Linked DNA regions of Oreochromis niloticus. The protein of the gene in region 2 purifies or fractionates together with the protein of the main gene of each other region. This does not show direct contact. Links are inferred from orthologs where the notes say so. Each region holds a gene or a part of one and is shown on either strand. Other genes may lie near its edges.

Evidence for each region.
Region 1: the proteins of wdr77 (region 2) and riok1 purify together in Homo sapiens (affinity purification with mass spectrometry; 5 studies listed by BioGRID and IntAct, with this or other methods). This does not show direct contact. The link is inferred for Oreochromis niloticus from reciprocal best matches to the Homo sapiens genes WDR77 and RIOK1.
Region 3: the proteins of wdr77 (region 2) and ctdp1 fractionate together in Homo sapiens (co-fractionation; 3 studies listed by BioGRID and IntAct, with this or other methods). This does not show direct contact. The link is inferred for Oreochromis niloticus from reciprocal best matches to the Homo sapiens genes WDR77 and CTDP1.
Region 4: the proteins of wdr77 (region 2) and gar1 purify together in Homo sapiens (affinity purification with mass spectrometry; 3 studies listed by BioGRID and IntAct, with this or other methods). This does not show direct contact. The link is inferred for Oreochromis niloticus from reciprocal best matches to the Homo sapiens genes WDR77 and GAR1.

Annotation. Positions count from the first base shown.
Region 1 is NC_031982.2:34,663,981-34,671,079, forward strand, and holds the start of riok1 (serine/threonine-protein kinase RIO1), read left to right. Parts: upstream 1-4,076; 5' UTR 4,077-4,225; coding exon 4,226-4,278; intron 4,279-4,880; coding exon 4,881-5,052; intron 5,053-7,099. Other genes in the region: rpp40 (ribonuclease P protein subunit p40), read right to left, coding at 3,737-3,856. UniProt on the Homo sapiens protein: Involved in the final steps of cytoplasmic maturation of the 40S ribosomal subunit. Involved in processing of 18S-E pre-rRNA to the mature 18S rRNA. Required for the recycling of NOB1 and PNO1 from the late 40S precursor.
Region 2 is NC_031970.2:22,062,847-22,070,411, reverse strand, and holds the start of wdr77 (methylosome protein WDR77), read left to right. Parts: upstream 1-4,542; 5' UTR 4,543-4,869; coding exon 4,870-4,978; intron 4,979-5,225; coding exon 5,226-5,411; intron 5,412-5,490; coding exon 5,491-5,632; intron 5,633-5,785; coding exon 5,786-5,835; intron 5,836-6,152; coding exon 6,153-6,223; intron 6,224-6,339; coding exon 6,340-6,397; intron 6,398-7,203; coding exon 7,204-7,275; intron 7,276-7,371; coding exon 7,372-7,480; intron 7,481-7,561; coding exon 7,562-7,565. UniProt on the Homo sapiens protein: Non-catalytic component of the methylosome complex, composed of PRMT5, WDR77 and CLNS1A, which modifies specific arginines to dimethylarginines in several spliceosomal Sm proteins and histones.
Region 3 is NC_031985.2:31,525,250-31,532,351, reverse strand, and holds the start of ctdp1 (RNA polymerase II subunit A C-terminal domain phosphatase), read left to right. Parts: upstream 1-4,088; 5' UTR 4,089-4,682; coding exon 4,683-4,978; intron 4,979-6,117; coding exon 6,118-6,201; intron 6,202-7,102. Other genes in the region: adck5 (putative aarF domain-containing protein kinase 5), read right to left, coding at 990-1,139, 1,231-1,325, 1,996-2,019. UniProt on the Homo sapiens protein: Processively dephosphorylates 'Ser-2' and 'Ser-5' of the heptad repeats YSPTSPS in the C-terminal domain of the largest RNA polymerase II subunit. This promotes the activity of RNA polymerase II.
Region 4 is NC_031966.2:13,611,147-13,618,709, reverse strand, and holds the start of gar1 (H/ACA ribonucleoprotein complex subunit 1), read right to left. Parts: upstream 3,020-7,563; 5' UTR 2,880-3,019; intron 2,580-2,879; 5' UTR 2,566-2,579; coding exon 2,361-2,565; intron 617-2,360; coding exon 462-616; intron 353-461; coding exon 293-352; intron 218-292; coding exon 91-217; intron 1-90. Other genes in the region: alcohol dehydrogenase class-3, read left to right, coding at 3,210-3,227, 3,440-3,541, 3,692-3,842, 3,943-4,030, 4,120-4,339, 5,071-5,331, 5,534-5,666, 6,368-6,506. UniProt on the Homo sapiens protein: Required for ribosome biogenesis and telomere maintenance. Part of the H/ACA small nucleolar ribonucleoprotein (H/ACA snoRNP) complex, which catalyzes pseudouridylation of rRNA.

The DNA.
Region 1 (7,099 bases), on a different chromosome or scaffold from region 2:
CTAAGCTGCGCACGTGCGCAATTGCGCACTGCTGGCACGGTCTCTGCGCACAGAAAATCTGCGTTGCGCACAAAAAAAATCTAACCCGAATTGAAATTAATATTAAAACTTTAACAATTCTGTTTTGCAGTGTTAGTCAGTGAGTGACTGGCTGCTCCTGTATGGGATTAGAACGATGCCACCTTATCCTATAGTCCAGCCAATAATGCGATTCACATTCGTATATACGCAGCCAATCAACGTCGCTGACAGGCTATGACAGCGTCCTTATGTGCCGACACCGGTGTTTTAGCTAGCAAAGCGGCGTGGCTGATGTGCAGTGAAGCCACGTTAATGACAACGTGTACAACCATTGGAGATGTGAGCAGGGCTGGACTGGGACAAAAAATTAGCCCGGGCATTTTGACTAGAGACCGGCCCACCAGGTATTATGGGAAAAACTAGAGAGCCTTTGAATGAAAACAAACGTCGTTGTGACAGTGATGTACACTGTCTTGTTGGTATATATGTATCAATCTAGAACTTAAACCTACACCATCCTCCCTATTCTGGTATTCTAAACAGTACTTAGCCGAAACCCAAAGACTGCTTGGTTTACCTCCTGAACTTTCTACAACATATGGTGGAAACTTGAAATTAAGACAGAGAAGCCTAGAGGTGAGACATGACCATTACTGAATATTAAAAATAATAAATGACAGATTTAGTGATATTTTCATAAACTATTTATTTACCACATCAATAAACAGCATGGCAGGGCAAAATATTTTTGTAACATGGCAACCTTTAAAAAGTGAAAGGAGACAGAAAGAAAGGTGAGAAAGAATAAAACTTCCTCACTCAAAACTTACCATCAAAACTTAATTTTGATGGTATTTTACACACAGTACTGGTACAGTATCTAGAAAATGTGGGAAAATACTGGCATCATATACAGTACTTACTTCTGAAGAAATTATGTTGGGACCCTGAAAAAAATTACTATGTACAATAATGGATTTCTATACATTTGACATCAGATGAAAACTTTGGTTGTATGACTCAGATAATTATTTGTTAAAAGCTAGAAATTTCAAATGAGAATAAGAAAGAAACGTATTTTTTGTGCCCCCCTTTCCCTGTTAATGCCCTACCTGGCCCCCTGGCAAAACTTTGCTAGACCCGCCCCTGCACAGTTACCAGCTGTCAGCTAGAAAAGGATCCTGGTGTTATTTGTCTCCCAGAAACAGTTCATAACTTCCCTTCAACCCTTCATCCCTCCAGCAAACATCAGCTGATACTAGAAATTAATATTAAATAAATTCTAACAACAGCTCATCAAGTTTAAAGGTGCTTCTGTTGTTTAACGCGACCTCCGCTGGTTTGCTCTTTCTGACGCAGAGAGAAAAGCCGATCAGCTGATCATTGATCATTGATCAGCTGATCGGGACAAATCGCGTTGCTTTTCACCTCAACTTTAAAGTTCGACCTCCTCGGCTGTAATTGGTCCAGCCCAGAGTCGATCATGACCAACTGGCCAATACACCACTATTCATTTATACCGTTGAAAAAATAAAAGAAATAAAACCCCATCGGCCCATAAAAACGAAAAATCACGAGCGGCCCACCGGGAAAATGCCCGGTATGTATGGGCTCAAAATGTGGTCATAAATATTTTGTACTTGTAAATCAGTTTTGTATGTGTAAAAAGAATTTGTGCGTGCGTAAAAAAGATTTGTATGTGCAAAAAAGATTTGTTTGTGTGTAAAAAAGATTTGTATGTGTAAAAAGAATTTGTGCGTGCGTAAAAAAGATTTGTATGTGTAAAAAAGATTTGTGTGTGGACTTAGCCAAAAACCCCCCTGCAAGTTACAAGTACGAATTTTGACCCTATTTTTCTTCCTGTCATCTGATTGGTCAATGTCATGTCAATCACAAATGTAACAATCCAATCAGAGAACAGATGGGTTTGGCTGTCGGAGGGGCACTTTTTTGAACTGCAGGTCCTTGAAGGGTAATACAGTTTGAAGCTGGAGGATCTCTATATAAATATCCGATAGCAGCTAGGTCCCCTAACTTTCAGCAGCTGTTGAAAGGATAAAGTTGTGGTATGTCAGTGGTTAGAAATACCATTATTACTTTAGGATTAGTTTAACACAAAGTCAGGGCTGACCCGGGACCATTGCTGTGAGTCACAGTGCGCAGCATAAAGGTCCTTTCACATCGGACGCAGGATGTGCTGCTAATGCTAACTGCTAACTAAAAGCAAAGGATCCAGAATTTGTTGCGCTGGCTGCTGAGCTCTGTGGGTTTTTGCAGCAGCTCTACCTGTACTAGATGCACCTGCTCCTTGTCGTTTCTGTCTCTGACTTTATGTCCTCTACAAGAGTTTGGTTTTTTTGCTAGTTCTTCAAATGTTCAATAAAAACATGTATGCTAATTCATAACGAAGAAAGCTTTGTAATGAAGACTGTCATTTCCAAAACACTGCCCCCCCGGTCCGCAGCGCTGTTGAAAAGGCTGTGGAAGTCCCTGTATAAAGCACGTAGACCTGTGACACAAAAATCACCAAACTCGGATGACCACAGACTGTTTTCCTTTGTGGTGATGAAGGAAAACGCTGGGTTGGCATGTAAAAGGGCATTTATTCCCTTCAAGGACCTGCAGTTCAAAAAAGTGCCCCTCCGACAGCCAAACCCATCTGTTCTCTGATTGGATTGTTACATTTGTGATTGACATGACATTGACCAATCAGATGACAGGAAGAAAAATAGGGTCAAAATTCGTACTTGTAACTTGCAGGGGGGTTTTTGGCTAAGTCCACACACAAATTCTTTTTACACACACAAATCTTTTTTACACATACAAATCTTTTTTTACACACGCACAAATCTTTTTTACGCACGCACAAATTCTTTTTACACATACAAAACTGATTTACAAGTACAAAATATTTATGACCACATTTTGAGCCCATAGGTATGCCCGATGGCCAGTCCAGCTATGGATGTGAGCAGGACAGACGGAACAATTGACGGACAAAGTGTGGACTTTATACCAGTTTTTAAATTGTGTTGATCGGCCACGTAAAACCAGAGTTATGATAAAAATATCTGCAATGTTTGGTTTTCTTCCTGAATACTATCGTTGTTTATATTTACTGCCGGAAGAAACGGTAAAAACGGCGTTTTATAAGGAAAACGCTCGAAAGCACTCTCAGCCTGTGAGCAAAAACAAAACCAAAAAACCCCCCACCCTTTCCTATTAGTCGAAAAAAGTACCGTGTCGACCAATCAAAAAAATGATATGGCAACGTGGCATCTAGTTGTTAAGAAACGGGGGGAAGTTTTAGGAGTGACGGCGGTGTTCTGAGATGTGAAAGATTTGAGAGGTTTGACCTCTCAGAGCAGCTCCCACGGGTGCTGGGTGGGGTTGAGGTCAGGACTGCAGATCCATACTCTCCACTCCCAAATCCTGAAGTTAGTCTCTGGTAAAGCCGCTCTGTGGGGGCGACTGCTGACTCACCTCTGAACACGCAATCCTTCCACCTCAATGCTCTGAACGGTCATCCACAGAACCACTCGCACACTGAGCCCTGCTGCTCCACCCGCATACTCAGCACTGCTCCACTCGTGACTGCTCTCCTTGCACTCGATCAAACACGACTTTAAATTTACATGAAGCCGTCCGTGAGCCCGACGCTGTGAAGCTAACGGCTCGGAGGTGAAAGGTCAGAGGTGAAGGGTGAGAGCGTCACCTGGTGGTTGAAGTGCAACTGCTGCACCTGCGCGCTGATCCGGTTCTTCGGGTCCAAGAAGCTGGAGCTCTCCGACACCAACAGAGTCCGCGGAGTCCGGTCCAGCTCCGAGGACGTCATCTTCTTCGGCTGCGAGCTAACTACACGTGTTTCCGGCCGCGGCTTTTCAGTTTAAAAGCTCCCGGTAGCGAACCGGAAGTGTTCGTTGTTTTTATTTTGGAGGATATTCCGGCTGTTGGGTGAATGGGGCGTTTGTGTGTGTGTGTGTGTGTGTGTGTGTGTGTGTGTGTGAGAGAGAGAGAGAGAGAGAGAGAGAGAGAGAGAGACGGATCGGTGGATGTGATGTGACGTCATCCTCCGACCCGCGCCGCTCTCCGTAGTCACGTGGTCGAACCCGGAAGTGGAGCAAACACGAGGAGCGGCGCAGCACAATCGGTCTCGAAGGTTCAGCGCTTACCTGTGTTTACCTGTGTGAGAGGCTTTGACGTCATGGCGGAGCCGGCGTGTGTACCTGGGCAGTTTGATGACGCGGAGGAGGACAGGTGAGTTCGTTCGTTTGTTTTGATGCTGCGGTGTAAACAGTGAGGCTGTACCTGGCTAAATCACCATGGTAACAGGTCACCTAAGGCCTGCACTCCATAGCAGGATTCAGTCTTGTCCAGGTAACCTCAGGTGTAACCTGGGTTTCTGTGCTGTGAAGCAGCAGCTGATGCTTTCATGTGTGAGCTTTTCTGTCATGTTTACTGACGTCACCTTACACACACACACACACACACTCTCAGTGTAAGTCTCCATGGCCGTGCTGTCGGTGTTTCAGTCCCATACACAAACCAGCCTCTCGCCATCAGGGCTTCTTGTTTCAGGTCAGGTAAAATTCAGCTCATCATATTTACTACATAAATACAATCAGCAGGCTTCAGGCCACAAGAACAGAACCACGACTTTAACCCACAGAGGAGCTCTGATAGCTCCACAGAGGGGACCAGTTCACAGCTCAGGCCTCTGCCCTCCTGACCATCGGGGCACCAGGGCTGCCTCCTCCCTTATCATTACATCTTGTTTGCTGTATGAGTAACTTTCACAGAGATTTCAGCAGCTCTGACTGTGTTTTTGTTGTTTGTTCTTTTGTTTTTTTGTTCTGCAGTGTCAGGTCAGTGGAGCTGACTCGCATCAGTGATGCACTGCCTTCATCAGAGCAGCAGGATTTCAGTGAGGAGGAGGATGTGGATGATGAGGATGAGTGGGCCTGGAGCTCAGCAGCAGATCTGGCCAAAAGATACAACCAGGCAGCGGGTGGCTTGCAGGTGAGACAGGAAGTGAGTAGAGGTCAAAGAACCAACAGAGTCTTCCAGGTCTAAAAGATGGAAGGATGGATGATGTATGTGTTGAACACCTGATTATGCAACAGAGGAGCTAACAGAGGGACTAACAGAGGAGCTTACAGAGGGACTAACAGAGGAGCTTACAGAGGGACTAACAGAGGAGCTAACAGAGGGACTAACAGAGGAGCTTACAGAGGGACTAACAGAGGAGCTAACAGAGGGACTAACAGAGGAGCTAACAGAGGGACTAACAGAGGAGCTAACCGAGGGGCTAACAGAGGAGGTAACAGAGGAGCCAACAGAGGGGCTAACAGAGGAGATAACAGAGGGACTAACAGAGGAGCTTACAGAGGGACTAACAGAGGAGCTTACAGAGGGACTAACAGAGGAGTTTACAGAGGGACTAACAGAGGAGCTAACCGAGGGGCTAACAGAGGAGGTAACAGAGGAGCCAACAGAGGGGCTAACAGAGGAGATAACAGAGGGACTAACAGAGGAGCTAACAGAGGGACTAACAGAGGAGCTAACAGAGGGACTAACAGAGGAGCTAACCGAGGGGCTAACAGAGGAGGTAACAGAGGAGCCAACAGAGGGCTAACAGAGGAGATAACAGAGGGACTAACAGAGGAGCTTACAGAGGGACTAACAGAGGAGCTTACAGAGGGACTAACAGAGGAGCTTACAGAGGGACTAACAGAGGAGCTAACCGAGGGGCTAACAGAGGAGGTAACAGAGGAGCCAACAGAGGGGCTAACAGAGGAGATAACAGAGGGACTAACAGAGGAGCTAACAGAGGGACTAACAGAGGAGCTTACAGAGGGACTAACAGAGGAGCTTACAGAGGGACTAACAGAGGAGCTTACAGAGGGACTAACAGAGGAGCTTACAGAGGGACTAACAGAGGAGCTTACAGAGGGACTAACAGAGGAGCTAACCGAGGGGCTAACAGAGGAGGTAACAGAGGAGCCAACAGGGGGGCTAACAGAGGAGATAACAGGGGGGCTAACAGAGGAGGTAACAGAGGGACTAACAGGGGGGCTAACAGAGGAGATAACAGGGGGGCTAACAGAGGAGCTAACAGAGGAGATAACAGGGGGGCTAACAGAGGAGATAACAGGGGGGCTAACAGAGGAGCTAACAGAGGAGATAACAGAGGAGGTAACACAGAGACTAACAGAGGAGGTAACAGAAGGGCTAACGGAGGAGATGAGTAGTTCTTTGGAGGACTATTTCTGTGGAAAGCTAACTGAACCTTGTGCTACATTAACATAATTATAAAATGATAGATAGATGGGAATACAAACTTTAGTCTATCTTTGTTTATTCTAATTGTTCTCAGCTTGAATCAGAATAAAAAGCATAGAAATAAAAACAAGTCTCTATTTCCTGTTGCCTCCATTGTAGAAGGTGACTTTGTCTCCAAACAGGAACGTGTACAGTCAGAGGTTAACGTGGATTCAGCAGGTGGAGGAACCTTTAAATCAGCTGTAATGTCTGAGTGTGGGGAAAAGACTCAGTCATTTCCACTGAGAGCTCCAGTAGAGTTTCTTAGTGTGCAGGCTGTGATCAGCTGACCTGCTGCTCTCTGTGGATGTACACACCTGGATTCATCCAGATGTGAGCAGATGTAAAACTCATATTCTTGAGTCATATTTCTTTCCATTTTAATTCATTACTTAAACATTCAATTAATTATTTAATGGGCTATTTAATTGTTTTTGGTACTCCTGGCCCTCCATACACTTGCTGTAAGCTAACTGTGAGCATGAACCCACAGCCACTGTGCAGCAGTCACAGACTCTACTGTAAACCAATCACAGTGCAGCAAACTCACCTGTTCATCCTGCAGAGGATTCTCATGCAGCCTTTAAATAACACAGTCAGTCTGCCTCAGTTTGATTAGCAGCAGGTTTATGAACAAACACAATGTGACAGATTTAAAACCATGAGGACTTCCATGTGAGCTTTAAATGAGCGTCCTTCCTTTAACTCTAAGCTGTCTTCTTCCTCTCCTGTCCTTCCTTCTTATCTGTCTCCATCT
Region 2 (7,565 bases):
GATTTGCATTCAGAGATGCTCTTCTCCATACCTTGGTTGTAATGAGTGGTTATTTGAGTTATTGTTCCCTTCCTATCAGCTCAAAGCAGTCTAGCCATTCTCCTCTAACCTCTGGCATCAACGAGGCATTTTTATCCAGAGAACTGCCCTTCACTGGATATTTTTCCTTTTTCGGATCATTCTCTGCAAACCTCTAGAGATGGCTGTGTGGGAAAATCCCAGTAGATCAGCAGTTTCTGAAATAGCCCGTCTTGCACCAAGAAACATGTTCAAAGTGATTAAATCACCTTTTTTCACCCAATTCTGATGCACGGTTTGAACTTCAGCCGGTCATCCCGACTACATATACTTGGTCTTTGCATTGTTGAATAAATTGCATTCGCATGTGATTTGCTGATTAAATATTAGTTATATTAACAAGGACTTAGACAGGTTTACCTAATAAAGAAGTTAGTTTCACGTAGGGTGTACTTGATACCCATTATGTACCTGGCATTCAAACCCATTTAAAACTACCGACTGTGTTTACACTGTGTACCCAGAAGAAACCCACACTGTTGCAGGGAGAACATGCAAACCAGGCTGTAGATGAATCCAAAACCATCTCTAAAATACCGCACTCCAAGTCAATATAGCCCGTGGCTTAAATTTTTTTAATACATACATAGCCATTTAAAGTGTGGATTGTGAAATACACACATTGTTGTATTCTTATGGTTACTTTTATAATAAATATGACATTTTTACATTACACAGGAATATTCTTTAATGTACAGAAAGTGAGGATGCTCCAGCTGTTAACTCTTGTACCAACGCTGATGTGTAAAATGACAAAGTAGCACATGATCAGTGTTATTGTTGTCATTCATACCTCTTTGTGAAATAAGCAAAGTAGGATTTATCCGGCATAATAGGTGAACATTGGCCACTGCTCTCAGTAAACGTAATGCAGATGTTTGGCTACTATATCCCGTGTAGAAATGCAGTACTAGTACAAAACTTAGTCTACATCTAAAACTAACTTTACTTATTTACAGAGTAAACAGTAGTGATCCTCATACATATGTGATATCAAACAATAGGCCTAAACACAGAAATGTCAATAACTGTAATAAAAAAATATAGTATTGGCATAGTGTACAGTGTAAGGAGGACCATAAAGGCACGTTGGAGCTTTAATTTAAAATGATGAACTTAAAGTTATTTGACTTATACTTTCGGGAGAAAAAAAATAGGAAAATGAAGGCTTTTTTTTTTTTTTTTTAATAAACAAACCCTCTGCTCTCCCAGTAGGTTTTAAGTACCTTATTTTACGTTGTTAATTGCTACAGTGCCAGCAGCTCACTGCTTTCACCTCGAATGACATTTCTCTTAGTGCGCGGCAATGATGCTGGTATGTCTGGAGGTCTGACTCGCCAAGAATGTTAACAGCTCTCCCTTAATGCTCCCCAGCAGCTGCGCACAGGCTGCAGTCCAGTGTGCACACATCAGCAGCCTAGCATGCAGAACGGCAGCTATCCACCCACCTGAGTGTCTGTCACTCAGCGTGGACAGGTACACACCTCGGAGCAGCTAGCCTTAGCTACAGTTAACGGTTAGCCTTAACGTTACCTGGTGGGTTAAAGCCGAGACAAAGGCATCACTGTAACGACGACTAACGTTACAAAGCTACCGTTATGTGCACCGACGACACTTGTGTGAGGAAAAAAACACACACACACGTTTTGCCACTTGACATGGCTGTGTGCTTACCTTTTGTGAACACGGCAATACACCCACAAAATCTTAACCATCAAGTAAGCCAATCACTTATCGATTTTAGACAGGGGGACAGAACTGTAACGTTTTCGCCAATGTAACCTTCATTTCCGTTTTCCTACCTTCACAATAAAAGTGCAGATTGATTTGACGTAGTTATAAGTGCGCATTTACATTATTGGAATTACTTTTCTTCTCTTGTCACTTTACTGTGGGGTTTGTTCGATAAGCAGTTGGCGTAATAGGGACTACGTTAGTATATATAAACTATCCAATGCCAGAATTGTAAATAAACAGGGTCAAACTGGACATGAAAAGGAGCGCAAATGGACTTCCGGTTAGTTCAAAATGATTTTACCAACTTTTACTGCGCCATTAAACCTCTTTTTTGTAACTCAAAAAACCTATTGAGCTGTCAGACTTACCTAAACGGTAACTTGGAGTTAGAATCTGGCCCGTGGATATTTGGCATGCAGACTGGAGCAGCCAGGGATTGAACCACCAACCTTCTGAGTAGTAGATCACCGGCTGTACCTCCAATTGCATCCATAATGTTGCGTCATGTCTTTTTCTTCTTCTTCTTTTAAGGTTTTGCAGTATGCGCATAAGGTTTAAAAATGCTTTGAAATATATCAATAATGTTTTTTTCCTCTTTTGGCTGCAACCTTTAGTGGTCACCACAGTGAAGGCACCACCTCACCCTATCCCTAGCGTTCTCTTTGACAACCAAGCCTCTGCATGTTCTCCTTCACTAAATCCATGAATGGCAGCTACATATTTAACATCTTTTGTCCAGTATCTCCGCTGTCCCTCTTGAGAATGTCCAGACCTTCCCAGCCTTGCCTCTCTACCTTTCTCTTAAAACTGCTCAGCCTGAGCTGTCAATTGTGGTCACTCCCAATAAAAATCATAGCATCTTCAGCTTTTCCACCTCCAGCCCGAGTCTTATTTGATAAGAGATGACAAAAAAGAATAAGATCTAGGAAGACATGGGAATTTCTAGAAATAGCAGAAGGGGGTTTGATGTCCTCCCAATCCTGAAGACCTGGAAAAAAAATGGAAAACATAGACACGTGGCAGAATGAATCATTTATAAGTTATCTATAACGTAATTTATACATCAAATTAAGTTCTGAAGGTAGTTGGCCAAATGGTCATGCCATAGTCAGAAATGACTTGAGGCACAGAATTTATCTTCCAAAGCCCCAGAAGAAAGGACAATATCAGATTTCTTAGGCAATAAGAGGACACTGGGGAAACCTGTCACCCAGCTTTAAATCCTTTTACTGAGAGATTCACTACTATGAACATTGATCTTGTTGAGTGACAATAAAGTAGTTATTCTCAATTCTTCTACTGTGGTATTTAGAAATGAAGAATCTCAACTATTGGATGCATTGTGGTAGACAGATACCCCTTCAGGAATACTGGTGTAACTTTTGTGGTCCTCTGTCTTTGGATCTCGTTTCATCATCAGGTGAATATTTTAGTTGCTAATGATGAATTTTTTAATGATTTAAAGTGTATTTAAATGTAACGTATATGCTTGCTTTATTTTTCAAAAGCGCAAATAGTGTTACATTCATATTAACTGGTAAAAAACAGTGCTTGTTCTGTAATAAATTATAATACAGTAATAATGTTTTAAGTAATAGAAATAATAAGTGATATTATTATTATTATTATTATTATTATTATTATTAACAATAATAATAATAATACCTTAAGTTTCTCTAGAAATTATCAGCAGATGCAATGCCATCTACAAAAGGCAGTGTGTGACCAGGTTTATTTTATCTTTATGATCAAAAGCAGATGGTGTAATGAAAAGCTGAAGGGCCTTAAAGCAGTTCAGTTAGCTTAGATGTTCCTGTTGACCCGGCACAAGGAGGAAACATTACAAAAGTGGAATAAACATCAAAATTAGGCTATCTGCCAAATTGTAAATTTAGAAGTTGGTATCTGTAGCTAGAATGAAAAGACTGTAATGAAAGACAAGATACTCCAAGATTAATAACTCCTGGACTGATTTGTCTGTAACTGACATACTAACTAACTGACATAGGCAGTCACATCAAAGTACTGGTTGAAATTATGCTAAAACTTATGGAAGTTTCTTTCTGCCACTGGGAGAAAAAAATGACATAACTCGCGATTTCTAATTATTTTCTTGGATGTTTGAGTTTGTAAGGCAGAAAGAAGCTTCCATAGTAGTTAGTTTAAAAAAATGTAAACTATCTGAAGTGATTCTGTAAACTTGGAAAAATAACTACAATGAAATTAAATGATAGTGAAAACACCCCTAGTTTGGTATTGTTATGATGTATTATTGTTAGTATTGTATTATTTTGGTAAAATTTGTTATCACTAACTGCATGATGAGGCTTTGGTGAACTTGTTTGTTGAGGCTTTGGATGTCTACAAGACTGTGAGTCAACCACTTTCAAAAAGTCCTGTTGATATTGTAATATCTCTATTGATTTTCCTAAATGTTGCCTCTGTCATTTGCCATAAATACAATTTTCTTTTTTAAGTCTAAAACTAACACTGAAATGAACAAAAACTAAAACTAAATGAGAAAATGCACTCTGGAAGTTAACTGAAACTAAACAGTGTTCAAAGCAAAAAGTTAAAACGAAATACAATTTTTAAAAAAACATAAAAACATGATGTGAAAATACAAAGCTATAGTAACTCCAGGTGGCAGTACTACATTACATTACTACATTAAACCTTTGAAGAGGCCCCATAAGCTAAATAATACTGCAGAGGGCAGTAACACGTCTGGTACTATGCATGCTGCCAAAAAAAGAGAAGAAGAAGAAACCGGACAGGAAGCGTTTGCTAGCAGTTCCATGTGTTGCGCTGCTCTCGGTCATTCATTCGTGAAACGAAAAATATACGGACTCGTTTTTCATGCATTACGGGCTTAATCGTGTTTTTAGCAACCGACTGTGTGCTATTATTGATAGTAATAATAATAATATTTTCAAAAGAAATAAACTAAAGACAAAACCTGCATCATTTCTGCAGTAGCACTAGCTAGCTAACGCAGGAGTTGTGTTGTAGAAGTTTAGGAAATCTCATCAACATTTAAAGTGCGATTTCTGGATGAATAGTTCAGTGGATACTAGGATGATCAAGGAAAACCGGTGGGACATACCCCCCAATGCTCCTGCGTGCATGGAGAGGCACCTGTGCGCGGCACAATACAGAGCAGGTAGGGGAAAGGAGCGCTAGCTGAAGTTAACGTGTAAACACGTGGTGCCGCTAGTTGGTTATAATTAGTGTGTTTACATTTGTGCTAAACTGTTGAAATCCTACGTTGACTCTCTTATGTTTACATCCAACAAAATGTTAAAGAAATAACATTTTCTGTTGAATACCAGTCAGACTAAACTTTTCTGGCAGGCGATGAATGAAAATATAGACGTTTGAAAGGTTTTCTCGTTGGGCTTTCTCCACAGATGGCACCCTGCTACTTGGTGCCTCCAGCCTCTCTGGCAGAAGCTGGCAGGGATCTGTTTGGATCTACAGCGACCCTGACCAGGCCCCCAGTGAGGGATTCTGTAAAGCTGGTGTGCAGACTGAGGCTGGTGTCACAGATGTCAAATGGGTGTCAGAGAAAGGAATTATTGTTGCCTCAGATTCAGGTAATGAAATGTTTTTATGGCAGGTGAATCAAGCACACACTTGAGGCTTGTATGAGACTGGTCTCATTTGTCTGTGCAGGTGCCTTGGAGCTCTGGGAACTAGCAGAGGATGAACGTCTACTGGTTAATCGCTTTACCAAGAATGATCATGACCATATTGTCACTACAGTAAGCCCCATGGTTGGAGCAACCGCTGCAGTCACTGGCAGCATGGACTGCAGGTTAGACTTGTTTTACATGGACATACATACACCATTCCACCTGTCACAACAGCGCAGAAGCAATGTTAATTGCTTTTGTTTCAAACTTTGGCTTACTTAATTTTTGAGTTGCCCTTGTCATCCCTTAAAGTGCATCTTTGCTTATTATTACAGAATTAAAGTCTGGGATCTAAGTCAGGAAATGGTTGTCACTACCTACAATGGTAAGCGTCATCTTAACATTTCTTCATATAGAAATGCACAAAACTTATAAAAATGCTTTTTTTTTTCCATAATGTGGAAAAATAAAAGTAAAAAATGTTTATTTTTTGTAGCATTCCTGGATGTATAGATTTTAGATTAATTAATTTACCAAGGTTTTTTGTTTCTATTGCTGATATTACCAGACTATCCCAGTGTCATATTCCTATTGACTCTTTGGAACGATGTATTGCTGAAGGAAAGTTTTATATTAAAATGTCATAAACATCATTGACATGAAAAGTTTAACTCAACAGTTCTTGTTGTTTTCTTCCCACAGTGCACACACAACCAGTCACTTGTGTTGCCTGCAGTCCTACAGATGAGTCTCTGTTTCTCTCCTGTAGCCAAGTAAGATGCTAATCAGCGTGTTGTTTGCATTCTTGTCGCAGAGGTTTATTTTTTGGACCGCAGAGCTGCAATCATTCAGATAAACTCAACTTCTTCTTCTTCTCATCCCTTCTTAGGACGGGCGTGTTTTGTTGTGGGACAGGAGGAAGCCCAACAAACCTGCATCAAGAATAGGTAAGCTACTTCACTAAGCTTTGATAACCACTTTTGCCAAACACTACTGGAAGAGTAGTTGAGATTAGAATTGGTAAAGCTGCACAGGAAATGAATTATGACAGAGAGTAAAATTTGTTCCAAAACAAACAGTTGTGTTTACAAATTTATGCCAGTACACAGACTATGCAGCAGTCATTCACTCTGCAAATGTATGTGTGTTAAAGTTGGAGTATGTACTAATACCTAGCAGGTAGACAATATTGCAACTGCAATGGAGTTGATTCCTCCACATATGCAGCCATTACCAAAGTAATCAACCCAAATCCAGAGCCTTAACTTTTCCCCCATGAAGACAACATTTGACAACACCTCATCTGTCCCCTTAATGATGGATTAAAAACCCATGAAGATGTGATTTGATGAACATTAGAGTAGTTTTCAGGTTTTTCAGGTGTGGCGGAATAGGCAGAGACCATCCTCACTAACTTACATGCAGATTCAATCATTTAGTTCTATAAGCAGGCCTGAAATATAATGAAACCTCTTAGTTCACAAAAGAGCTTCAAGGGTTACTTCTAGAAGGCTTTCAAGGTTTAAAGAGTTAATAAGAGTGTTTCCAAAACTTTGGAAGTGCTCCATAATTACCTAACTAGCTACCTAGCGTTTTATTTTTGTCTAGATGATTAAAGAAGGACTTTGTGTTGTTGTTCCTGGAATCCGTTTATAGGCTGTCTTGGAAATATGTCTGTGCTGTACAGGATATCCTGTGTAAGTAATGAGAGATGGCAAGCGCATTCTCAGTTTCTGTTTTTGTTTTGCCTCAGATGTAGAGTCTCCTAGCTGCTCCCCTACTTCTCTAGCTTGGCACCCTCACCACAGAAGCACCATTGCTTTTGGTAAGACGCTGCATTACATTGTTGAGTCACATTTGATTAAGACCTGACTTTAATTGAGACAAAGTTAACTTCGCTTACATTCTGATCGTGTTTCAGGCGATGAGCTTGGCAGGGTGACTGTGAAAGATTTCCTGGGATCGGAGCCATCTCGGGTGGAGAAAGTTCACAGCCGCAGAGTTAATGGGCTGGCCTTCTCCACACACAGGTAAATGTAAAGTCTGTCACAGTCTCACCTTTGGCTTTATTGCTCTTTTACAAAATTCTGACTTCTTCCTTTTCTTCCCAGCACC
Region 3 (7,102 bases), on a different chromosome or scaffold from region 2:
AAGGAGGCGGTTGAGGAATTTGTTCGGCTCATTTCTTGTCAGGTAAGTGAATTGTTGATAGCAGCGGCTCTTAACTAATTTTCTAGTGTGATCTTCCGCTGTGTATGGGCTTGGTGAGAAAACCAGGCAGTTGACGATATCAGGATATGCAATAGACGGAAGACTCTCCAGGTCGTCATTGATCCAAGACGAAGGAGCCAACTCGTATGGATCTGCACCACCAGTAAACCTTAACTTTTCCAAATATCGTGCCCTTTCCTGCGGACCAAGTCCTTCCCTGTATGCCTTTGCATCTATAATGCATTTTGAGGAGCTTTTCTGTGGTTTCGGACATTGATCCATTGCAGTGTTTACCTCCGAGTGCCTCCGCGCATGCAGGTTACCACCCAGAACGTGACGTAGGTAGGTGAAAACCCTCTATGAAGCGGACCTTGAATAGCTTAGTGGATGCAAAGCTAACATGACCCCACTCTACACCCCCACAAAGTTTCATCAGAGTTCAGCCTTAACTTTTTGGGCTGTCATGTTTACAGACAGAACGAATGACACACACACAGTAAAAACGTAACCTCTTGGTGGAATAATAAATGAGGGCAAAACAGAAGCCATTTTGGCTTAATAACTACATTGACTTTGGCCACACATCCGCTCCTGCCCGTCTCCACCCTGCTCTCAGTCTTGTGGTGTCACCCAAAAACTAAAAGTAATGAGACGGAATTTACAACCTTATAAAAGGCATAAAATGATTGATTTCCATAAAAGGCAATGCTGTCAGGATATTTTTTTGTTTCTTTTGCTTTTATCCATTCATGAAAAAAAATGACCTACTTTAGCTAATGTTCCTGACAATACTTAGAGAACACTATTAGATATACAAGTCTAATATGCAAGTTTAATAGATAAGAAGTCACCATTTAGAGACCATTTCACAGCCTCAGACTGAACACGTATTAGAATCTCATGATGCTGATAATGACATTCATACAAACCTGCAGAAGCGGCCAAATCCTTCAATCACAATCCTCATCTGTCTCCTCTGTCTGGGCTCCGATACGGCATACTTGACGCTCACCGCCACGGGAACACCAACAGAGAGGCCAACGAGCGTCTTCCATAACAAGCCTCTGTGCTTAGCTTCCCTGCAAGATTTAAAACACACACATACAGTCTCATTGCATGCAGACTTGAGCATAGACTGAAGCTCATCTACGGTCCTCAGCTGTCTGCTACCTGAGTGAACTGAAAGATCGCCTTGCTGAGAGGGATGAGGAGCCAGGAAGCGGAGCTCTTCGGAGGAGAGCCAGGTGATGCAGACATAACGTCAACTGAAGAAAAACAAAGCAATGTATGAGTGACCTACAGCACCACTTCCATCTGACACGTCTGACCTCTGTGTTTGCGCAAGTTAAGTGAACGTTAACCAGCCCCGCGAGTTAGGTAAAGGGATTGAGGGCACGAGGACAGACACTGTGTTCTGAGTAACAGCAAGAAAACGTGGGCGCGCGTGTGTGTGTGTGTGTGATAGGAGGCGAGGACGTCTGGTTCAAGGCGAACATGAGCAGCTATACTGACACTTTGTTGTTCTTTGCAGTTTGCTTTCGAGGGACAAAATGTTTCCACTGCAGATAAATTAATTTACACATGGCAGCGGGGTCAGGGACCAGAGCCCTGAAATATCTGAGCAGCCCAACCCCCCTCCTCCCACAGCCAGCTCGCAGGAACACTTGAAGACGATCCACTCCTGCAGCCGTGCGTGTCTCTCCTACTCACACCATTGCTGGAAACAAAGTGTTGAATGTGTCCTCTCATGTCAAAAATGCTTTAAAACACTCCAGTGAACAGCATGCTTTTTAAACACGGCCTTGACATTCAATTTTAATCTCAGATAATATATACAGACGCTAACACACCGGGCCCAATTGCAGCTGGCTAGCAATTAACTTGCTAATTGGAGAGAATTGGGTTAAAAATGTGTAATAAATAAGATTTATTTACCACTTTACAGTTCTCCGCTATCATGTTTCCGAGTTATTAAAACAGACAAGCTCCAAGAGACGTATTAATATTCCTTGTCAGCAGCCACCAGTAAACGCTTTACCTTTCTCCTTCATAAACTGCTAACAGCACACTGGTTTGCTGATGTTTAACCAAAGAGTAACGCAATGCGAGATGGTACCCTCCCACATACTGTAGTTTCCGTTTATTTTTTTGACAGCTCGTTCGGCCGTACAAATAAAAACTACAAGTGAAAAGATTTATTAGTTATTTATTATTTAGATAACTGAAAATAGTCACATTTTCTTATCTGATGTGATTCTTTTAGAAAAAACCTTAATCATTAGATCCATCTTACAACAACACCTCCTGCCTGAAGACACACAAAGGTCCCCCTACCTCACAGAAAGTTTGGTTCCTACACACACTGGACATGTGTGTATTTGAATTATGATTGGCTGCCACGGCCTGGGCTACCTTTGCACTATCTTTGTCTCTTTTGCACTGATACAGTGCCAATGATATGGGACAAAAGTCATGGTGGATGTAATGTGTGGATCATTGAGAAACTTCCTTGTGTAATGCAGATACTTCCCTCCACTGTGTGTGTGTGTTTCTAAAATTAACGAATGTGCAAAGGAAAACTTAATTTAACATCAAACGTTTTGTTAATAACTAGAACCTGTCTTTAGCAAATAGGTCTATTTATTGATGGAAATAGATTGTATAACTTTAACCACACTAGTGCTAAGTCCATCCATCGACCCACTGCATCCACCCACTGACAATGATCTAGGTTAGGTAACAGAAGCCCTCTTGTGTGCAATATACATAATTTTATTTAAAATATAATTTCAGGAATTTCATGAGTTCCTTTAAATTACTAATTTTGCCTCAATGAAAAAAAAGAAGATTCAATTTCATTAACCCCACATATCAGACAATCTTCTCAAAAGCATAACAACTTTCATAAATTTAATAAGAAAAAAAATGTCTATTTCATAATTTGTAGAACATAGTATAAGATTATTTTTAAATACCAAACGTTAACGGAAGTTGCTATAAAATACTTGTGTAAGCTATGTTTTATCGCTGGTATTCCAAGATTATTTCTAGGGCTTTTATTGTGAAATATAAGAAGAAAGGCGTTTTCACACCTGCGTGAAAAAGAAATCGGGTAGTGAAACATCTCGGTTAGTTGAAACGAACACTCTGGAAGGAGGTGCTTAAGTTCTACGTCATTGAACAGTTAGAACAGCGCGAGGTACGTCCTTGTCCTGTAAGGTCATCATCTATCTCCTCTGCTTCCTTCCTTCAGTCCCATCTTCAGCCTGGAAAGTTAAATATTAACATAACTCGAGGGTCGGTGTAATCTATACAATCAAACCTAAGGCTTTCTTAAACTATAACAACCTCCTTCACTTACACCTTAAACATGACTGCATTTGTAAATATCATGCTCTTATTGCAAAACCCCCATGAGACACTTGTGTAGTGTTACTTATATGTTACATCAAGTTGCGTCAGGTAACACCATGTCTGTGCGGGTTCAGGGGCTTTAACGAAAAAGGGAAAAATAAATAAAGATCTTGCACGGTTCGAGTGGATTTTAACACAATATGTAAGCGCTATGTAGGTGATATCTATAATAAGGAGTAGTTAAAATAACCACATTGGTGACTCTAAAAGTTTACGGCAACATTGTGAAAAGCGTCACAAAGAGGCATCTGCCGATAATAACAATCCACGAGTCGTTTTATTTTGAAACCTAAGTAGAAACTGCGTTCAGAGACGATCGAGGGAAGTAGTTTCATTTCCTATTAATCCCACTGTGCACAAACTGACTGTAGATTAGCCAGCGGCACCGCAGAGGGCGCCGGCGAGCTCGTCCTCGATGATCACAAGTGTAAAAGGACCTAAACGGCTAAAACCTGCTTCTAGACAAAAACCCACAAATTACTATTATTATTAATTTTTGCATACCTATAATTTTGACGACCTAAAATATAACAACAGTTACGTCATTTCCTTTATCTTAAAAAAGAAAGAATCGGATTTTCCGAAAACCAAACCTGCAAGTTGATTGGTCAATTTAGGATTCACTAGCTTCGTGCCCAAAATCAAAATGGCAGATGCCGTAAAGTGTCTTATTATTGCGCTGTCACATAAAACGCATTTTAACTACAATCGAACCCCGTAAAATGTTTTTCGAAATTTAACTGAGTCCATTGTCTCACATTCACCTATAAAAACACACGATTAAAGTCCCCAGCATAACATTCTCCACAGAATTTACATTTGGGGGCTTCACGTCCACGGGGATGTATTCATTCTGGACTACCTCGCGAGCGCCCTCTAAGAAAACAGGGATCCAAAGAGTGGGCGTTCTCGGAGACGATAGCAGTTCTCTGGTGTTTTTCGCGAGTGGCTTGCTGTATACCGGATGCTGTAGCGACCCGTGTCGCTGCAGTGTTGCGCTTTCCTGTTTACGGGCGGGAAGAGCGAACGTAGCTGGGACTGTGGAGCTGCTGTGTTTAAATCTGCAGCACATTTGTTTTAATTCTCCTCGATGTTGACGGTTCGCACGTTTTAATGATACACGGGGCTTTGCGAGGTCGAGTGGATACCTTTTAAGCTGTCAGCTTTTCAAAAGTAAGGAGATTTTGTTTTTGGAGAGTGCGGGGCAGATGGAGGATCCTCCTGCAGATTTTGGTGGTGGCGGCGGTGGTGCAGCTGCAGAGGGCCCCGTGGTGCAGGTGGCGGATATCTGCTGGCCAGCCGGGGCTCTCCCTGTCCGGCTTATAGAGTGGAAAGTCAAAGCCGGCTCTCTTGTTAACGTGGACTCCGTGCTAGCACTGTGTGCACCCATACCTCAAGAGAAGGGGACTGATGGTGCCAGGCTGCCAGAGAAGAAGGTGAAATCGGACCGTGCTGGAATAGTGAAGGAGCTATGCAGTCAACTTGGACAAGTCATATCTCCCGGGTGAGTCACCCTGCTTGCTATAGCTCGTTAATGTTAGCTGACCTGTTCCCTGTTTGTGTCAGCTCAGTTTTGTTGCAGCTGTCTTCATGCTCACTGTACCTAAGCTAGCTAACGAGCTAACACTGTTAACCTGACGTTAGCTTGTTTGCTAGCCACGCTCAAAGCAACACAGCGGAGCGTTTGCTCTGACCAGTCAAGTACCGCAAAATAAACAAGCTGGCGTTTCGTCGGGGGCTTTCAAAATAAGAGCATCGTGTTTTATAAATATTATTTTATCTAGCTTTGTCAGGAGTTGTGATTGTGGTGAAAGAGAAAGTTAGAAAACAATTTTATTTGCTATATCAGAATTTTGATTAACATGCAGTAATGATTGAATTTACAAACCTCCGCACTTTTGTTTTGAAGGCGCGACCACGTGGTAGATGCTCTCGTGCTGTTTGCCTTGACGCAGCCACTATCGCGTGCACAAAATTGTGTACAAGCAGTGCAGATTGACAGGTAGAAGAGTGACCCTGGAGGCAGCCGTTATCCTCGTGAGCTTGAACCAGCCGTGTATATGTATGTATGTGTGTGTGTGTGTGTGTGTGTGTGTGTGTATGTGTATATATATATATATATATATATGTACTTTAACGCGTATTAATTCACAGTAACGGGAGACGTGTATCTTAGCAGTTAATTAGTAAAAGAGGAGATTTTGAAGTTCTCTTTAATTGGTTTGACCGGTCTCTTTGTGCTTTATTAAGTATTAGCATCACTTCTTATGCGGAATATATCAAATTTAAAAGAAATGTCCTATTTTTGAAAACTTTACATTTAAATTCGACACCTTTTGATATTAATACACATTCAAAGCTGATATAGTTGTTATTTGCTATTAGGAAAGGGTCGTGCTGCTTTCAGGTACTCTTTGTAAACTCTTGCTCCCGGCTTAGTCTACTGTTAGCTGTTTATAATACTTTAACAGCGTCTTATTATTACAGCTATATAAAGTGAAACACCTAATTAACAGCTTTCTTTATGTTTCTTTATGTACTTGCATGCTACAGTTAATGAGAATCTGTGCACAGTCCCAGGCTTCAGTTTGCAAGCAAGTTAATTGGGTCTTTAATTATTTTCCTGTTTTTTCCTTTTTCCAGGGGCATCATAGTCAGAATAGAAGAATGCAGCCATCCCATCGTCATGAAGGGCTTATGTGCCGAATGTGGTCAAGATCTAACTCAGTAAGTACATGCTTTATCTCTCTTTTTTGTTTGTTTGTCTTTAACTTAAATCTTTGTGTTTTTCTGATCTGCTCAGGCGTTTTCCCCCCAAGAACTTTAATTTCCCCCCTTTTATTGCATAGATATATCTATAAACAATAAAACAAACTAAAATGGAACAGCAAACCCCTCCATATAGGCTCATTTGGGATGGATGTCACGGTTGTGTAATTTCACATGCTGGTGGCAGAAGAAAAAGGGGAAAAAGTGAAAAAAAAAACCAACAGAATGAGTAAACGAAAACTATTCTGAAAACATTGGTCAAAAAATTAAAAAATGTTTTCTTTAAAAAAAGATAGCTGTGACGTTTACCTAACACTGTCAAAACCAAGCAAAATGGCATTGTTGGTAGGCTTTAAATGTGCAAACATGATTAAATGTTATATGATGATAATATCTGTGATATTACATTTATTCAATTGTATGAATGAACTTAAACTTAGCTAAGCATTTGAACCATGTGATATAATTGTTATTACAACGTGATTACAGAGGATGTTTTAGTAGGGAGGCATTTGTAGATCCCGAGAGCCCAGACTTTGTTTTTTCACTTGTTCAACACCATCTGTGTATGGAAGCTCCATAGAACTTATATCTCATAAAGCCTTATTTTATGTCCTTGTCCTCTGGGTAAAGGCAGTATGTCTGTCTCTGTCTGTTTTCTTGGAGCCTGTCCAGCCTGTCATAGGAGTGATAGATGCCAGTCTATCGCAGGGCTAACCCAGAGAGACAGACAATCATTCACACTTAGATTTAACTCTTTGGCCAATTTAGAATCACCAGTTAACTTAATAAACAAAGTGTTTGATCTGTGGGATGAAGCTAATCTACAACACTTACATCAAGATACTTTAAAAGCACA
Region 4 (7,563 bases), on a different chromosome or scaffold from region 2:
TAGAGAAAAACAAAAACACAAATGTCTGTTTTGTTATCTATTCTAAACACTTAGCCAGAAGATTAAATTAAAATGAGAATGCCATCTTACCTCCACGACCACCACCCCTTCCTCCACCTCTACCCCCTCCTCTGCCTCCTCTTGGAGGCCCCTTTTCTCCTGGTGGCCTCGGGAGGAATCTCTGCAGTGGTAGTAGCTTCATTGGATCTATATAAAACTAAAAGCCAACATTTTGGTTAGAAATCTGAGGTATTAAATTAATCACTAGAAAACTTTGAGACATTTTTGGTACCTTTTGTAGTTTCTTGAATGAAGACGCCTTCATATTTTCAGAAAGTTTTACTGAGAAATACTGCAAAGATGGGTTAAGGAAGCAACAAGAACACTGACAATGTCAAACAGATCCCCACCACCAGTTCAATCAAAGGTTTGGAGAAAAACAAAGACAATAGAAAGGATACAAAGTCTCTGAGTTGGCCAAATATCTCATCCACCTTCCCAATCTGCTCCTTGTTTTCCAAGTACACTGGGGCATTGAAATAGGGAACCTTGTTTTCCTCTGTTGTGCACTTGCAGACAATGTCATCTTCACATGGATGCATGAACTCTCCCAGTGCTGTGAAGGGTGTGAAGACAATGAAACAGTTAAAGTTTAAGACGTGCAATACCATGACTGACAACCAATTTAAATTTCTGTCTGGTTATAATAAGTCAGCATATGCTTGACTGCTCTGCAGTTCACTTTATGGGCATCTAGCACAAGGTTTCTGTACGTCTGAAATTCTTTGGAGGCCAGGGGAATAAATGGGGGTTAAAGGAAGTGACCCAGAATATATGCTAAAACAGAAACTTTGAGGCACTAGAATATAAACATATAAAAACAAAAAGATCAAATAAGTTGGAAAAAAAATCTGTTTCTGAACAGCCCAATGAGTAGAAACACAGATACATCTTTAACAATATTACAATGTGGACTTAAAATATATTAGATGGCAACCTAACTCCTGGTACAGCATGTTATATTCACATTTTGTGGGATGATCATTAAATATATAAAAGATTGATCTTTTGTCTGTAATGCAGTTTGAATTTAAACACTTACATATTGCTCATTTTATTATTACTATTCTTACTACTACTACTACCACCACCACCACCACCACTACTATTATATTAATAATACTATTACTAATATTATTTAACATCTTTGAAATATAATTGTTTTCTGGTGTATTTAGGACAACTTGGAAACATGTAGTTAAAGTTAATTAACATGAACTGGATCTTGAATTCCTCATGTAGGTGACACACGGTGTATTAACTTCATACTCTTGTCACATAGAATATTTACTGAAGTTCTCCATTCACACACACCCAAAGGTCCACCGTTGTTTTAGAGTTGCCTGCTAACACTGACTGGAAATTTATGCTTCAGTGGGCAATAGTGTACATAGCAGACGCTGAGAAACCCTATAATGTAACCTACCCTGATAAACTGATATGCACCTACATAGAAATATAATTACATGTCACATCAACACTGCCACTACTACCATGATTGGCCTGTTGAATACCGTTGATTTCGCCTATGCATTTCTGGCTACTTTTTTGATGCAGTGCTAGAATTTATCAATGACAGAATAATAATATAAGGATCTGTTAAAGGAATAAAAACCATAATACGGACTCACAAATGGCAGCAAATTCCTAGAAGGAGATTGTCAAAACTATTGGAATGGACACTAGGGAAATGTACAAAGATGTGGAAATACTAGAGGAACAAATATAAAAATGACAAAGCAAAGAGTGGCAAGCCAGAAGGGGAAAAAAACTTTCTGGTATTTTGTTTGTTTCTATCGTGACTGGCACCACATGTAAACTGCCAGGACTCTACCACAAAAGTAATTAACATGGTAAATGCTGGCACGATAATGTCATCTTACATAGGTTACATGGCCTTTACATAGATTCAGGCAAGATGGTGTGTGTGGACATCTGCATGCCTGCCTTTCTTTTTTGTTGTTTGTTTGTTTGTTTTTTTGTGACTGCACAGACTAGTTCGTGGTGACTTTACAGTACAATGCACCAAGAAGAGCAACAGGACACAGGTCTTGTTTTCCATATCCTTGGGATAGTCTCCATCTTTGATGAGGACAAAATTGTCACAGCCTACCTACTCAGCCACACCACTTCCCCATAACTGTGTAATGGTAATATTACAGAGTCAGTTTTTTGGCAATATCAAGACGGTTTGCTTGCATCTCATTGTCTGAGAATTCACGCGAAGCTGTGGTAAAAGGTTAGCTTCACATGTGTATAAAGAAACACTCGGTTTAGCGTTTTGTGAGCTCTGGGCTTACCAACAACATACTCAGGAGGTCCATAATCTTGCTGTCTGTTAAAACCCCCTCTTCCACCACCCCGTCCAAATCCTCCACCACCCCGTCCAAATCCTCCACCACCTCTGCCTCCACCGAATCCTCCTCCACCTCGTCCAAATCCTCCACCACCTCGGTTGAAACCTCCACCTCTTCCACCACCTCGTCCTCCTCCTCTGAAAGACATTCTCCTCAAATGCACTGTAAATAAGAAATTATAAAAACACAAAGACGACACAGCTCACGTGAGTTCATGCTTGAAGCTAAACACTTATGAATGAATTAGCCTGCCCATGATTCGGGCAAACTATGCTGACTTGGAAGCTATTGCTTATGCTAGCTGAAGTGGTTAGCTTACGTTAGCACAACTCAGTTATTAAAAGTACGAAAATCCATCGGAGTTTTCTAACATAAACCAACACGATACGTAGTCGTTGAAAAAATATACACACCGAAAAAGTGCGCAACTCGGATTTTGCACAGATAAAGACAATTACTCACAAATTTGACCGACTGCCTAGACTTCAGACCGCTGTGCCAACTTCCATGCGACTACAACACGTGTGACCATAACGTGCCGTAAAGGCAAGGGGCGGTCTCGGAAAGTGTCGTAAATGCGCTGACAGAGCTAAACCATTGAAGAAAAACTAGAATTAGAAGAGGGCGCAACCTGTCTGCTGTTTGACTCGGTCAGTTCAACTTTACCCACTCAAATGTTGATATAATGTAACTCGAAGCTGTTTTGGTGACAAGTGCAGATTTAATTATTCCTTTATTTAAATTTTTTGTTCAAATACAGGCTGTTTTATATGAAGACATCATCTGCCAACAATGGCAACAGATGGAAAGGTAAGAAAAAAGTTGTTTTTAAGCTTTTTTTTTTCTTTTTTACTGTTTGTCTTATAAACAGCTACTGTTGCTTTTGGGGGTTCTGCTTTTCATTCTAAAGTTTTCTGTCATGGAGAGTGTTCATTGTTTGTTTGCATCTGTAACTGCGCCCAAACACAGTCACTCATCTTTGGAAACATATTTGTTTTGGTTTGGGTTTTTTTCCCCTTTAGGTGATCACATGCAAGGCAGCTGTTGCGTGGGAGCCCGGGAAGCCTCTTTGTATTGAAGAAGTGGAGGTGGCACCACCTAAAGCTCATGAAGTCCGAATTAAGGTTGGGCACAGCTCAAATTTGTCAGCAATACAACAATAAGTATGATTTACATATGATTATTTTATTTCCTGTTAGTGTGACTGTTAACCACAGACTACTTCCACTTCCTGAAACTGTCACATCATTTGGCACATCATTTGGTTTGTACAGGTTGTTGCCACGGGTGTGTGCCACACAGACTGGGAATACCTGTTTGAGACTGGAAAAGGGATGAAATTCAGACCATTCCCTTTAGTACTTGGTCACGAGGCAGCTGGCATAGTGGAGAGCATTGGTCCAGAAGTCACTAGAGTCTCCCCGGGTAAAGTGTACCACAACCAGTCAGATGACATTTGTTATGAATCTTATTTCTCTTTTTTTTTTCTTCTCAGACTTACATAATTGTTTCGTTGTTTTCGCAGGAGACAAAGTTATTCCTCTTTTTCTGCCATACTGTGGGGAATGTGAACGCTGTCTAAGTCCAAAAACAAATCATTGCAAGAAAAACTGGTGATTTTATTTCCCCATTTTTGAGACAACCACGTTTACTCTATTACTTAAAATGTGTTCACGTAAATACTGTTCTATGTGTCTTTTAGGACAAATATGCAAGCTGGAGTTTTGGCTGATGGGACTAGCAGGATATCTTGCAAGGGACAGCAGGTTTACCAGTTCCTTGGAGTCAGTTCTTTCTCTCAATACACTGTGGTCCCTGACACTTCGGTTGCAAAGATAAGAAGCGATGCACCGCTAGACAAAGTCTGTCTGCTTGGATGTGGTGTCTCCACTGGTTATGGAGCTGCTATTAATGCAGGCAAGGTTAGAAAACTGAATTCGAAAGGTTCAAACTAATACTCTTAGAACAGATGTGACGAAGCAACAAATTTCAAAAGATATATTGATGAACATGACAATATATAAACAGCCAAGGATATTTTAACCAAAAAAAAAAAGAAAAAATAGTGATATTTGTATCTGGAAGTTTTTTGCTTTTTTATGTTTACAATATGCTGCAAGACTGTAGTCATTTAATATCAACACTAGAGGGCAGAAATGACACGAGTGCCACTAAGTTTTCTGGATAAGGTGTACATGTCAACTACTTTACACAAATTCAAATAATGTAAAATAGTTCCATAGTGCAATGGTTTACACATTTGTATAACATGTGAAATACATGTTCCTGTGTTGGCTGCATGTGGAAAGGAATCTGCTTTAAAAATCGCCAAAGTCACTGAGGTGACCCGTTGTGAATAAGGGAGCAGCCAAAAGTAGGTCCACACACATTAACATAAATAAAATGACAAAATCAGGACACTTTTGTACTCCATTACTAAAAAGAAACCAACTAAAAATGCGTGGAAATCCTTGCATGGGTTATTTATTTAGACATAGTTTTAATCAAGATTCACAGACCTGATAATATCTCATGTATGTGTTTAAAGGAATGTACTCTAAATGTTATATTTGCTGTAAAAATTATCTGTGAAAACGCTGAAATGATCTTTAAGAACTATTAGCTGACTGGCTTCCAACTTTTGTGCATTCAGGTTGAAAAAGATTCCTCGTGTGCCGTTTTTGGGCTTGGAGCTGTTGGGCTGGCTGCCGTCATGGGTTGCAAGGTTGCCATTGCGAGAAGGATCATCGGGGTTGACATCAACCCTGACAAGTTTGAGAAAGCCCGACAGTTTGGAGCGACAGACTGTATAAACCCAAGAGATTACAGCAAGCCTATCCAAGAGGTTGTGGTGGAGATGACGGGTGGAGGTGTGGACTATGCGCTGGAGTGTGTTGGAAGTCCAGCTATCATGGTGGGTGCCTCATTTGAAATTTGGCATGCAATTGTGTCAATGCAAATTAAGTCTTGTGACTATAATTAGAGTACACTGTACAATGTCTTCTTTGTTAACCTAGATTTGATCTCTTTTGCAAAAAGTGACACAAGTGAAAGAGTTAGATAATGATACAAATACAAAATGATAATTAGTTAAGCAACTGCTTCTGTCACCATAGAATGCTGCACTTGAGTCCACAAGAGATGCCTGGGGTACTTGTGTCATTGCTGGATGGACAGAGACAGAAACAATGAGCATTTCAGTTGAAAAGCTTCTCATGGGACGTACCTTAAAGGGCACTTATTTTGGAGGTGAAGTAAACAAAAATTACCATACATATTAGATTATTTAATTGCATTTCTGGTGTAAATGTAGATTTGAGTGATGAACATAAAATTGAGTGTATCATCCTGAAAAACTGTCCCTAATGTTGTCCGCCAGGGCAAAATGTAATGTCATGTTGGGGTAAAAAACTTTGCTATTGGATTATTAATAGTTAAAATGTGTTAAAAATTATATTACAACTGCTTTGGTTGTAATATAATTTTATTTTATTAATTTTTTTTAGGTAAAGCATTCAAAACAATCATTGCTTGTTTTCTCTGATCAACATTCCTGAACCTAAATATTATTGAAGTACGATTTAATAACCCACAGAAAAATGAGAATACGTAAAAAGTCTTGAGTTGTGCTCAGTTAATAAATTAAACAATCGATGAATCATCTAAATTTCTGTCAAAATAACCAACAGTTTTTGGTTCCTGAGTTCAAAACGTATATAAGAAGTTCAGTGAGGACAGACAGTTAGGTATATCCTACATAAACTATATAATCACTTTTACAATTTGTAACAATAAATTTACATATGTTTCATGTACTATGAGCACATCAAACTCACATCTGATGTGCAGCGAATTGGCTGTGAATGTGACCACAGGACGGTCTTACAACAGTGCAATTCATATTACATGAAAACATGTTTACAAGTTGAGCTTGTTAACTTTTTCTAAAGGGTGGAAGAGTGTGAAGGATGTGCCTAAACTGGTGGATGACTACATGAATCACAAGTTGAAACTGGATGAGTTTATTACGGAGAAGCTCCCGCTGGTTCAAATCAATAAGGCCTTTGACCTTTTAAAAAGTGGTAAAAGGTGAGACCTTTCATATGTGTACATAAACAACAACAGAAAAGTCTACTTAGCCATAAATATCAGGACTGAATTGCTATTTAGGGACAAAATTGTTTATATGTAAGAAAAGTATTTTCAAATCTTTAACTTCTGTCTAACATGTTCTGTTTGATTAAACAAATCACTAGATTCAGTTTGATTGATCTTTAGAAATAATTTCAGAAACTTATTTCCCAGGACATAAAAATTTAAATACTATTTGGTATAGTGTGACCTTACAGTTTTTCTCAGTCGCTTTGGTGCGTTTCTCAGAACACCATCAACATTTGCACAGCAGTTAGTGCATTTCCCAAAACAATTAGTGCAAACTGCAAAACCTAGTGGATAGCCTGCAAAAGCACGTCACATGCACAGAATTGATTATCCATACCGCAAAAGCAAGTATCCATGTCAATGAAACTGCCAGTGCCATCAAAATGAAAAGTCTTGACACCATCTGTATGAACAAGATAGTCAAATGGCATTGTCATGTTTCCACTATGACAGTTTATAATTTCAGTGTTTCCCATTGCAAAAACAATTGGTGACACCTGAAAATGCTGACGACAGCACTATGGCCTACCTGTACAGCCATCTGAAATGTGCAGTGAAGTCACTGTAGATGTTATGGGAGTCTTGGGAGTAACTGAGACACTGAATACGTACGTTTCACATTTCCATTGTGTAGAAGTGTTTGTAATCCTACAGAATTGTGCAAAAGAAAAATATGCTACAGTCACTTGTTCACTGTAGAATACATGTAAACATAAAATCACCCATTTGGTAGAGCTGTGCACTAATGTGAACAATAAACAGCACATGTAACAGTACAGTAAATCATTCTGGCACATCCAGACGTTCCTGTCTGTCTGGCCACATATTTTCATCTACATCACAACAGATGTTATCCCTCGCAATGCAGCGAGGAAAGTATCTCCTGGAGTGGCGAATCCATCCTCTGCAGGACTCTGCTGTGATGTCATCACAAGCTTTTGTAGATTCAGTATGCACCTCATGCCAATCCTGTCTGTTGGTTTAC